2 linked regions of the Nothobranchius furzeri genome follow. The protein of the gene in region 1 binds, or shares a complex with, the protein of each later gene. Links are inferred from orthologs where the notes say so. Each region holds a gene or a part of one and is shown in the gene's direction. Other genes may lie near its edges. The genes, in order: gtf2e2 and polr2g.

The links.
Region 2: gtf2e2 (region 1) and polr2g share a complex: the UniProt entries of both Homo sapiens proteins name them as parts of the TBP-based Pol II pre-initiation complex. The link is inferred for Nothobranchius furzeri from reciprocal best matches to the Homo sapiens genes GTF2E2 and POLR2G.

Annotation. Positions count from the first base shown.
Region 1 is NC_091747.1:77,627,050-77,631,664, forward strand, and holds the start of gtf2e2 (transcription initiation factor IIE subunit beta), read left to right. Parts: upstream 1-1,585; 5' UTR 1,586-1,794; intron 1,795-2,291; 5' UTR 2,292-2,296; coding exon 2,297-2,456; intron 2,457-4,615. UniProt on the Homo sapiens protein: Recruits TFIIH to the initiation complex and stimulates the RNA polymerase II C-terminal domain kinase and DNA-dependent ATPase activities of TFIIH. Both TFIIH and TFIIE are required for promoter clearance by RNA polymerase.
Region 2 is NC_091741.1:90,872,656-90,877,100, reverse strand, and holds the start of polr2g (DNA-directed RNA polymerase II subunit RPB7), read left to right. Parts: upstream 1-1,427; 5' UTR 1,428-1,580; coding exon 1,581-1,592; intron 1,593-1,840; coding exon 1,841-1,950; intron 1,951-2,107; coding exon 2,108-2,267; intron 2,268-2,418; coding exon 2,419-2,469; intron 2,470-2,558; coding exon 2,559-2,624; intron 2,625-2,780; coding exon 2,781-2,852; intron 2,853-4,445. Other genes in the region: uncharacterized protein si:ch211-175m2.5, read right to left, coding at 520-619, 695-862, 928-981. UniProt on the Homo sapiens protein: Core component of RNA polymerase II (Pol II), a DNA-dependent RNA polymerase which synthesizes mRNA precursors and many functional non-coding RNAs using the four ribonucleoside triphosphates as substrates.

The DNA of each region.
Region 1 (4,615 bases):
TCCTGATGGAGTTGGAGTGGCTTTGTAGCGGTTGCGTGGCTCAACTTGGGCACTTAGAGCTTCCGCGTGCTCAAGGGAGTCGGAGCGTTCGACAAGCGTGTCCTTACCGCCAGGTATCCTGGGCAAAAGAACGAGGTTTCTTTGTCTCTGCTGAAGATTTATGGTCTTAGTTCGCGGGAAAAGCTCCACGGCCTCCCGCACATGCGCAGAACGTGTTTCTGGTATTAGGCGGTGACATCATCCCAATGCTTCCGTGTGCAAAGCATCATGGGAAATGAAGTTTCTTGGTGCTGATGTGATTATTTGCTTTTCAGAGCAATTTAAGCACAGTCATTTTGGAGAAAATCAATGTGACCTTTACATTAGCTTAACAAGCAGGTGAAGACTTACAGATACAAGTCGAACAGTAGCATGGATAGACAGCAGCGTGATGGTGGAGCAGCAGCAATACAAATGAGAAGCAGCAGTATGTACAGTCAGGGATAGTCACATGTACGTGACTTCAGGCACGTCCCTGCAGGGGATAGTCACATGTACGTGACTTCAGGCACATCCCTGAATACACCTTTTTCTCTCGAGGTTTGATCACCACACACCCTAGTGGCCAGTGGTGACCTCTGCATACCCGGATAAGCGGAGGAAGACAACAACGACAATGTTTCTTTTAAGTACCTCAAGCAGCTGCTGCAGACCAGCACTGTATGGGGAAAATACCACCAAATCATCAGCATACATGAGGTGATTGAATAACTGATTTCCCACCAAGCAACCAGTCCTGCACTCTTTTAATTTAACAGTTCATACATATATATATATATATATATATATATATATATATATATATATATATATATATATATATATATATATATATATATATATATATATATATATATATATATATATTATGAGCATATCTGGGTTTTTGGCGGTGTTTACATTGCGGAACCGGGTTATTGTGAATATTCGGGGTTTTAAAGGGTTACTGGCTGCATGTAAACACACCACTTTAAACCAAAACTGAGAGTCTGTAGTTCTAGCAAATGGCATCAGTTTGTCCAAAAGAACATGTTCAAGCACTTTAGACAAAACATTAGCCAGAGCTATAGGCTGATAATTTTCTGAACTATTACTTCTGCCATTTTTGTCCTAAATTAATTTGGTTGCTGATTAACCAATGATTTAAGGATTTATCAGTTTGAGCAATCTTATTCCCTGTATTTATCTGGCTTATACACCTTTCTGATTGAATTGTAATACCAAGGTATATGGTTTAATTGGGATATTATCACACAAGAGGACCTGGCAGCAGCAAAATGGCGACTTGAGCTCACCTCCAGTCGCATATGATTGCCATCATAGATATAGATATGTATATAAACACTATAGCTGAATCATAATTATGAAATAATGTTTTTTTATCTGAGTGGCAGGAATGGGCTTCCATACAAAAATGATACATTTTTTTAAATGCCGGAAAATATATTTCAATATATCATAAAATGTGTGTTTAAGAGTCCGAAAAAAGCATCACTGAAATGTTTTCCACGCATGTGTGAAATGACGCAATGACGTTCAAGGATTACCTATCGATGTGGGAGTAGTCGAACAGAAGAAACGGAAGTGTTACATAGAAGAAATCAGTGAGAAGTTTTTTGCTAACTGTAATTTGTTTAGTCGCAGAAACAACGGAAAACACGATTTGGAGAGTAATATATTTTGTATCGTTCGTCATTAGTTAGTCCTTTTGGACTAACTAGTTTTTGTTCTGAGTGAAGAGAAACAAAGTGTCAGGTAACGTTCACTAACTGAACATGCTAACGCTACGTTAGCCACCAGAATAGTGTATAATTGTGTTTCGTTTGCTCAGTAATTTAGCACTTTTCGTAATTAAACATGATTGTGTTAGATAAGTCAATAACGTTAGTTTGATAACGGTAATAGGGGTTTACTGACCAGTGTTCGTTACGGTCTGGTTCATTTTAAAACTACAAGGTGGTGTCTAGTTAAGGTACACGCACTATTTTAATTCCCCTAAGCTTCCTACACCTGAAAAAGATTTAATAAAACTTTAAAATAGTTTATTAAAACTTTCCATATTTTCAAGAGAAATACAAACAGCTGGGAGACAATTCACCGTGTAAAAATGACAGCACTGGTATGTAAACAAAACAATTAGTTATTTTAAATATTTTTAAAAAATGAGTGTTAGATCAGAAACATGTGAATCCATTTGTTTGTGGTATATTACTCGCAGACTGCAAGTGTCTAATATATTCTGCTCCTGTCAGCCAGGATGGATCCGGCTCTACTTAGAGAGAGGGAGCTGTTCAAAAAGAGAGCCCTGTCTACTCCAGCTGTAGAGAAAAGACAGACTACGTCCGATTCTGGATCACACAAGAAGAAGAAACCAAAACTAGACAAGGAGAGCTCATCTGGCTCCAAACACAGCACTGGTAGGTGAAGCACTTGCTCTTAACATGGTTCATGATTCTCACAGTAAACATTATTTTGCCGTTGTTGCAAGTTTATGAATCCCATGTTTGTTGCTGGTTTGCTGTCAGTCTTAAAGCATGTGGACTACTAGCCAAGTGAACAAGAACAAATTCCTGCTTTGCAGATTTAGTTAATATATTTAAATAATATATTTATTTAGTCTGGCTTGCCAGACTAGTGGACTACTGCTTTGAGATTATGTAGGTGACAAACAGAGCAAGTGTGACTTAAAGTGTTACACCTGATTTGAGAGTCTTGAAAACCGTATTCCCCACTCCAGATCTTGCTGCTTCTGCCATGATCTCAGTAGCTGCATATCTCTATTGTCACCTTATTTGCTGCCATTTACATCTAGAAAATCAGATACTTTTTAAAAATCTGTGTTTGCTAGCATCTGCCTTAAATAACTTAAAGTTATCACATGTACATTTTAAAAGTTACATTTGATAGTAACCTACAGTTATCATTTAGGCTGAGGATTAGAAGAGAATATGTGTCTGGACCTAAAATGTGACAAGGATGTTGAGTCTAGACTTATTCACTGCAGGATTTGTAGTAATCATGATTATCTGACACATCCATGAAATATCTGAATGAGCTCAAAACAATCAGTGGTTTTACACTGACATCAGTTTGTCGTCTAATGTAGTCCAAGTTTGGTGTGTAATTCTGAGTATAACTTGTTTCTGTGTGTGCTCACTTTCTAATTTCTCCTGTTGTCTTGGTAACAGTTGGGCTTTTTAGCTTGCAAGATGTCACATAGCAGCAGTTTCTAACCAACACACTGCTGGTGGATCCTGATGTCTCAGTAGCAGAACTCTGTCGTCGTACTTGTCTGGCCACAATGAGTTGGTCCTTAATATTAACAATGTCATTAGGATTTCTAGGGCTGCAAACAATATTTATTTTTGATATTGCACTATCCGTGTGCACAATTACACCCAGGAATTTAATAAATAAATGGCAAAAACCTAGGGTGCCTGATTGTGGAAGTCATGATTCTCAATATTTACAGCAACACTTAAGGCCCTGTCCACACGTAGCCGGGGATTTGCCAAAACGTAGATATTTTTCTACGTTTTGGCCTGTCATCCACACGAAAACTGAGTTTTTTTCACACAAAAACGGATCTTTTTAAAAACTCCGGCCAAAGTGAAGATCTGCGTTTTCTCCGTTTTGGGTGTCTGCGTGTGGACAGACAAAACCGGAGTTTTAAGGTCCGCAACGTCACTTTCCGCGACAAAAAAACGCTGACATCACGTGTGCGACCTGTGTTTACACTAGCCGACAGCATGAATGCCCTCAGAGCTGCACTCGCTTTATCAATTGTCCAAGCGCTTTTTGCTTGTTTGTTTTTGCAAGCGGAATTACTGCTCCTTGCGGAAGACCACAGACGAAGGACGAGGTTAAGAACGGGAGAAGTACTGCCGCCTACAGGTCTGGCGTGTCCTTAACAACGTATTTATCCTGGTACGAGTGGACAGAGTTTTTTTTAAAACGAGGTGGTGTAAATGCAAGTTTTTGGAGGGGCGGATATTTGTTTTTTTAAAAACCCGGCTACGTGTGGACTAGGCCTAAGTTTCTCATTTTCCCTCCTACTGGTTGAAAGCAGAATTACAACTTTCATAAGCAAACCTGTTGCAACCTGCTGTAGCTAACATTGACAACGACCTAATGCTAACACGTGCCAGCTGATACTGAATTAGCCACAAAGTAAACAGATCCACACTTTAGAACAAAAAATATTATTGTCAACTGTATTGATGACACCCCCTCCCTGTCAAACACTGTCGTCATGGAGTGGATCTGCCAGCAGAGGGCCACAGTGCTGTTCAATGTGAAATTGCTCAAGTTTCTGGCCCAAGAAACGCTGAAACCAGTTTCAAAACAATAACTTACAGTGTTAGATCTCTTTAGAGTTGCTTTAATACATTTACCCATCAAATTTATTTCCAAAGTTTGCATATGCAAACAAGTGACGAATTTGTTCTGTTTATTAGTGATTACAACTATTAAAAGTTACTTTTATCACAACAAAATTAAAATATGGTACTATAAGAAATGCATTGGCGTATTTAATGTGACAAGTATCAAATGTGTATTTTTGTAACAGACATAC
Region 2 (4,445 bases), on another chromosome or scaffold:
CTCACCCCTTTCCTTGCGGGGTCACCCATAAAGACAGTGGGAGGGTTAAAATAAAAACGTTAGCTGCTTGATCATCTGTTTAACACTTGCAGTCTAACTTTAAGAGTCACCTGTTTTCTTTAGATGTTCAGTTAGTTAACATAATACATACAAAATCCACATTCCTCCCAATTGTTCTGCAAAAACAGAAAGAGGTAGAGACACAAATTAAACTTGACTTATTGAAAATATATTTAACAATTTTTTTCACTTTCATCACGTGATCATCCGCTGGAACAAATCCAGCATCACAGCTTCTACAAAAGGTTATCCTCTAGTCCTGTTGAGTCATAACACAGGACAAACATCCTTATTTGCAACACAAATAAGAAGTGAACGAAGTGTTTAGTTCACTGAACCCTGGCTTGGACACGTTGGGAGGGTTGAAGGTGCTGAAGAACGGGTTGCTTTTTATTCTAAACACTGCATCGTGTGTCTGTATTTATCTGAACTGAGGCCACTACATCAGAAAAAACCAACCTGTGTCCTTGTTCATCAGTTCATTGTAGTAAGCGAAGAAGGCTCTGAACTCAGCTGGTCTGTGGGAGAGGGCTTTGAAGACATTTGGCAGGAAGCCTCCCTGTGCACAAATATGAGCAGATTAATGATAAAGGCGTGTGATCGCGAGACCTAAAGGCTGGTTTTAATTTAAAACCTTTGACTCCACTTCCTCCATGAGCTCAACTATATCATAAGGCAGGTCCTTCTTGTAAGGAATGGGATAGCGGCTGATCTTCTCCGGAAGGGTGCCGGAGGACGGTCTGGTCCCAGCCGCCACTGCAGCCACCTTACCCCGAAACAAGCGACCCGACCGGAGACACGCCTGCACAGACAGCCGAAGAGTCAGATAAACAAAACACACAATCAAATCTACGGTTCGCTACTTACAATTTTAGAGGTGACAGGAAGACGAAGCAACTTGAAAACGAGGTTGCTCGCCATGACAGAAGGAGGACTTGGAGAGTAATTTTAACCACGGAGACAAAATTCCTATTTTCTTTCTAATGATGTAGCAGAATTGTTTATTTTAATCTATTTCGTTCTTTAAAACTTCAAACCACCTGTAGTGTGGTCCCAATGACCGCTAAACAACATGACGATTGTGCTAAAGTTGGATTACTTTCACCTAAATAAATTGTTTTCGCTTCGTCTGTGTGTCAGATAAGAGTCCACTAAAAAACAGCCAATCACAGAGCGGCTTTCAGTCACGCCTATTGTTTTCCACGCCTCTCTGCAGTAATACTTCCTCGCCACAAGAAAGCAGTATTAAAATGAACCGACGGTGGAACTCGTTTAAATCGGATTACTTATTCCGTTAATTGTTTTTAAATAAACAGTTTTTAAAAATCCCTGAAGATAATTTTATTTTTTTTATTTCCCGTTACAATACAATTTACAACAAAATTTCAAGAATCCTCTTTGACCCGGAAGAGGTTCTTCTACGCCGGACGTCCATGATTCCCTTTCAACAAAGAACAAGAGAAGCCACTTCGACGTATTTAAAAGTATATTTTTAAGGTGGAATTTAAACTTATCAAGAAATGTTTTATCACGTGAGTATGTACATTGTTCTCGTAATCGGGGGTAGCTGAAGGCTTAATGGATGTTTCGATTTGGATCGTTTATCAACAACGTCGTAGTCTTTCCCTCTTCTTCTAACCTGGACTAGTTTTCATATTTTTAATCAACGTGACATTTTATTCATCCATTACTCAATCTACAGAGGCTGGTTTATGCATTTTTAAAATACGAACGTGTGCACAACCAATTTACAGATGAAGGATTTTGTTGCACTTTACAGATTTCTTTGGAGCATGAAATCCTTCTCCACCCCAGGTACTTCGGTCCCAATCTACTTAACACCGTGAAGCAGAAGCTTTTCACAGAGGTAGAGGGAACTTGTACTGGCAAGTGAGTAACAGCATTTTATTATTGTTCATGATAACTTTAACTGGGCTTTGCAACGACTGAAAGCGTTAATGAAACATTGACTATGGCATAACTAGATCAACGTGTTGCTGCCTTGTTAAAAAGTTGGATTAACTCTTTTGTTTTTTCTGTTTCCCAGGTATGGATTTGTCATTGCAGTAACCACTATCGACAACATCGGAGCGGGTGTCATCCAGCCAGGCAGAGGTTTTGTCCTCTATCCAGTCAAGTACAAGGCCATTGTTTTCCGCCCGTTTAAGGGCGAGGTGGTGGACGCTGTGGTCACTCAGGTTAACAAGGTATGGCTCACTCATCTTTAGTCATTGTTCTTCGTAGCAGATCTTAATTCTTTAGCAGAACTTCACGCTTGTGAAAACTAAACAAATTGAGGATTGTTATGCCAGTACGTTTGCGCCTCGCCTTTTTTAACCTTTTTCTGTTTGCTTGCAGGTTGGATTGTTCACAGAAATCGGTCCCATGTCTTGCTTCATCTCTCGCCATGTAAGTCTGTTAAAGCATCGGTTTCACTAGAATCATCTTTTTATTTCATTATTTATTTAATGTTGTTTTGATCATATTTTTATTTTCAGTCCATCCCCACAGAAATGGAGTTCGACCCCAATTCTAATCCACCTTGCTACAAGACTGGCGATGAGGTTGAATATCTGTAACTTTTCTATTTTACTGCTGCTTGTTTAAACAGTCATATTAATAAAAATCAACTTCAGCATGTAAAAAGTTCTGCTTTTTTTCCCCCTAATGTGTAAATGTTGCTCTATCACACTTTTGTTGATGCTTCTTACTTTTTATAGGACATTGTAATCCAGCAAGATGATGAGATCCGGCTGAAGATCGTGGGAACACGAGTCGACAAGAATGACATTGTGAGTTTATGTTCTTTTTTAAAGTCACTACAGTTGTTTAGTTCATGTTTCCTTATTACTTCATATTATTTATACACACTGCCTGGCCCAAAGAAAAGCTGCCATCCAAAAAACGTCACACATTCCAATACTTCGTTGGACCACCTTTAGCTTTGATTACGTCACACATTCGCAGTGGTGTTCTTTCGATGAGCTTCTCCAACGTCACCAGATTTGTTGCCATCCAGTGTTGCATTAATATTTCACCAATATCTTGCATTGATGGTGGTAGAGTCTGACCGCTGCACAAATCCTTCTCCAGCACATCACAAAGATTCTCAATGAGGTTGAGGTCTGGACCGTGGTGGCTGATCCATGCGTGAAAATGCTGCCTCATGCTCCCTTGGGGCGACGGTGGCACAGGAGTTAAGTGCTCGCCCCGTAATCGGAAGGCTGCAGGTTTGAGCCCCGCTCAGTTTGTTATTGTGTCCTTGGGCAAGACACTTAACCCACATTGTCTGCTGGTGGTGGTCGGAGGGACCGGTGGCGCCAGTGCTCGGCAGCCTCGCCTCTGTCAAAGCACCCCAGGGCAGCTGTGGCTACTAGTGTTGTCAAAAAAATCGATACCCAGATATAAATCGATACTAAAAGTGGTATCTAAATGAGATATTCCATCCCTGTGGTATCGATATTATGGACTATTATACACAGCCTTCTTCAAGTACACCGACACGCACGACAGCCAGATGCCGTAAAGCAGCCTCCGCCTCCCAGACAAACAGAAGAAGAAGACGCCGCATGGCTACATTGCAATTTCCCACGCGAGTTGTCTCCGATCCAAGTTTTGTCTGCCAAATAAATAAACAAAAACATAAACAGCGAATTTGGGAGGCGCTTCACAGCCCAACTTAATTAGCATACCAAGTCCAACACGTAGTTGTATATTCACGCTTATGTGCTTAAAGGAAAACTCCTGTTTATTGCAACCCGGACTTAATTTCTAGCATGCAGTACGTTTGTTTACTCACGCTGACAACTTTGGTGCTACTTGGCAGAGGTGGAAAGTAACGAATTACATTTACTCACGTTACTGTAATTGAGTAGCTTTTTTGTATATTTATACTTTTTAAGTCGTTTTTAAAAGCTGTACTTTTACTTTTACTTGAGTAAGTTTTTAAAAAAGAATTGTAATTCACTACATTTTAAATGATATCCATTACTGAGTAAAAATAAATTATAGGCTTAATAAATTAAAAATATTACGTGTTGCAGCGTCGGAACAGAAAGAGACACCTGCATGATCACCGCGTCTTTTGCTCAAAGACATCAGTTCAGTCGATCAACTCGCTGTTTACCTCCTCTCTCTCTTCTCTCCTGTGGGTTGGAACCCGCACCTTCGCGCACCGGTGTGACGTCATCAGAAATCTGCTCGGTTCGGTAGCCGGACTCGGTTCCGTGTTTGAAATGTGTTTCTCTACCGCTCCGCATGGAAGCAGCAAAATAACGTTTAGCGCTCATAACAAGCGGATTATCAGCGCTCTGCTCATCAAACAGAAGACCTGCAGGCCTCTGTGAGTTAAAACATCCTGATACTGTTCAGGTGTAAACATTGTG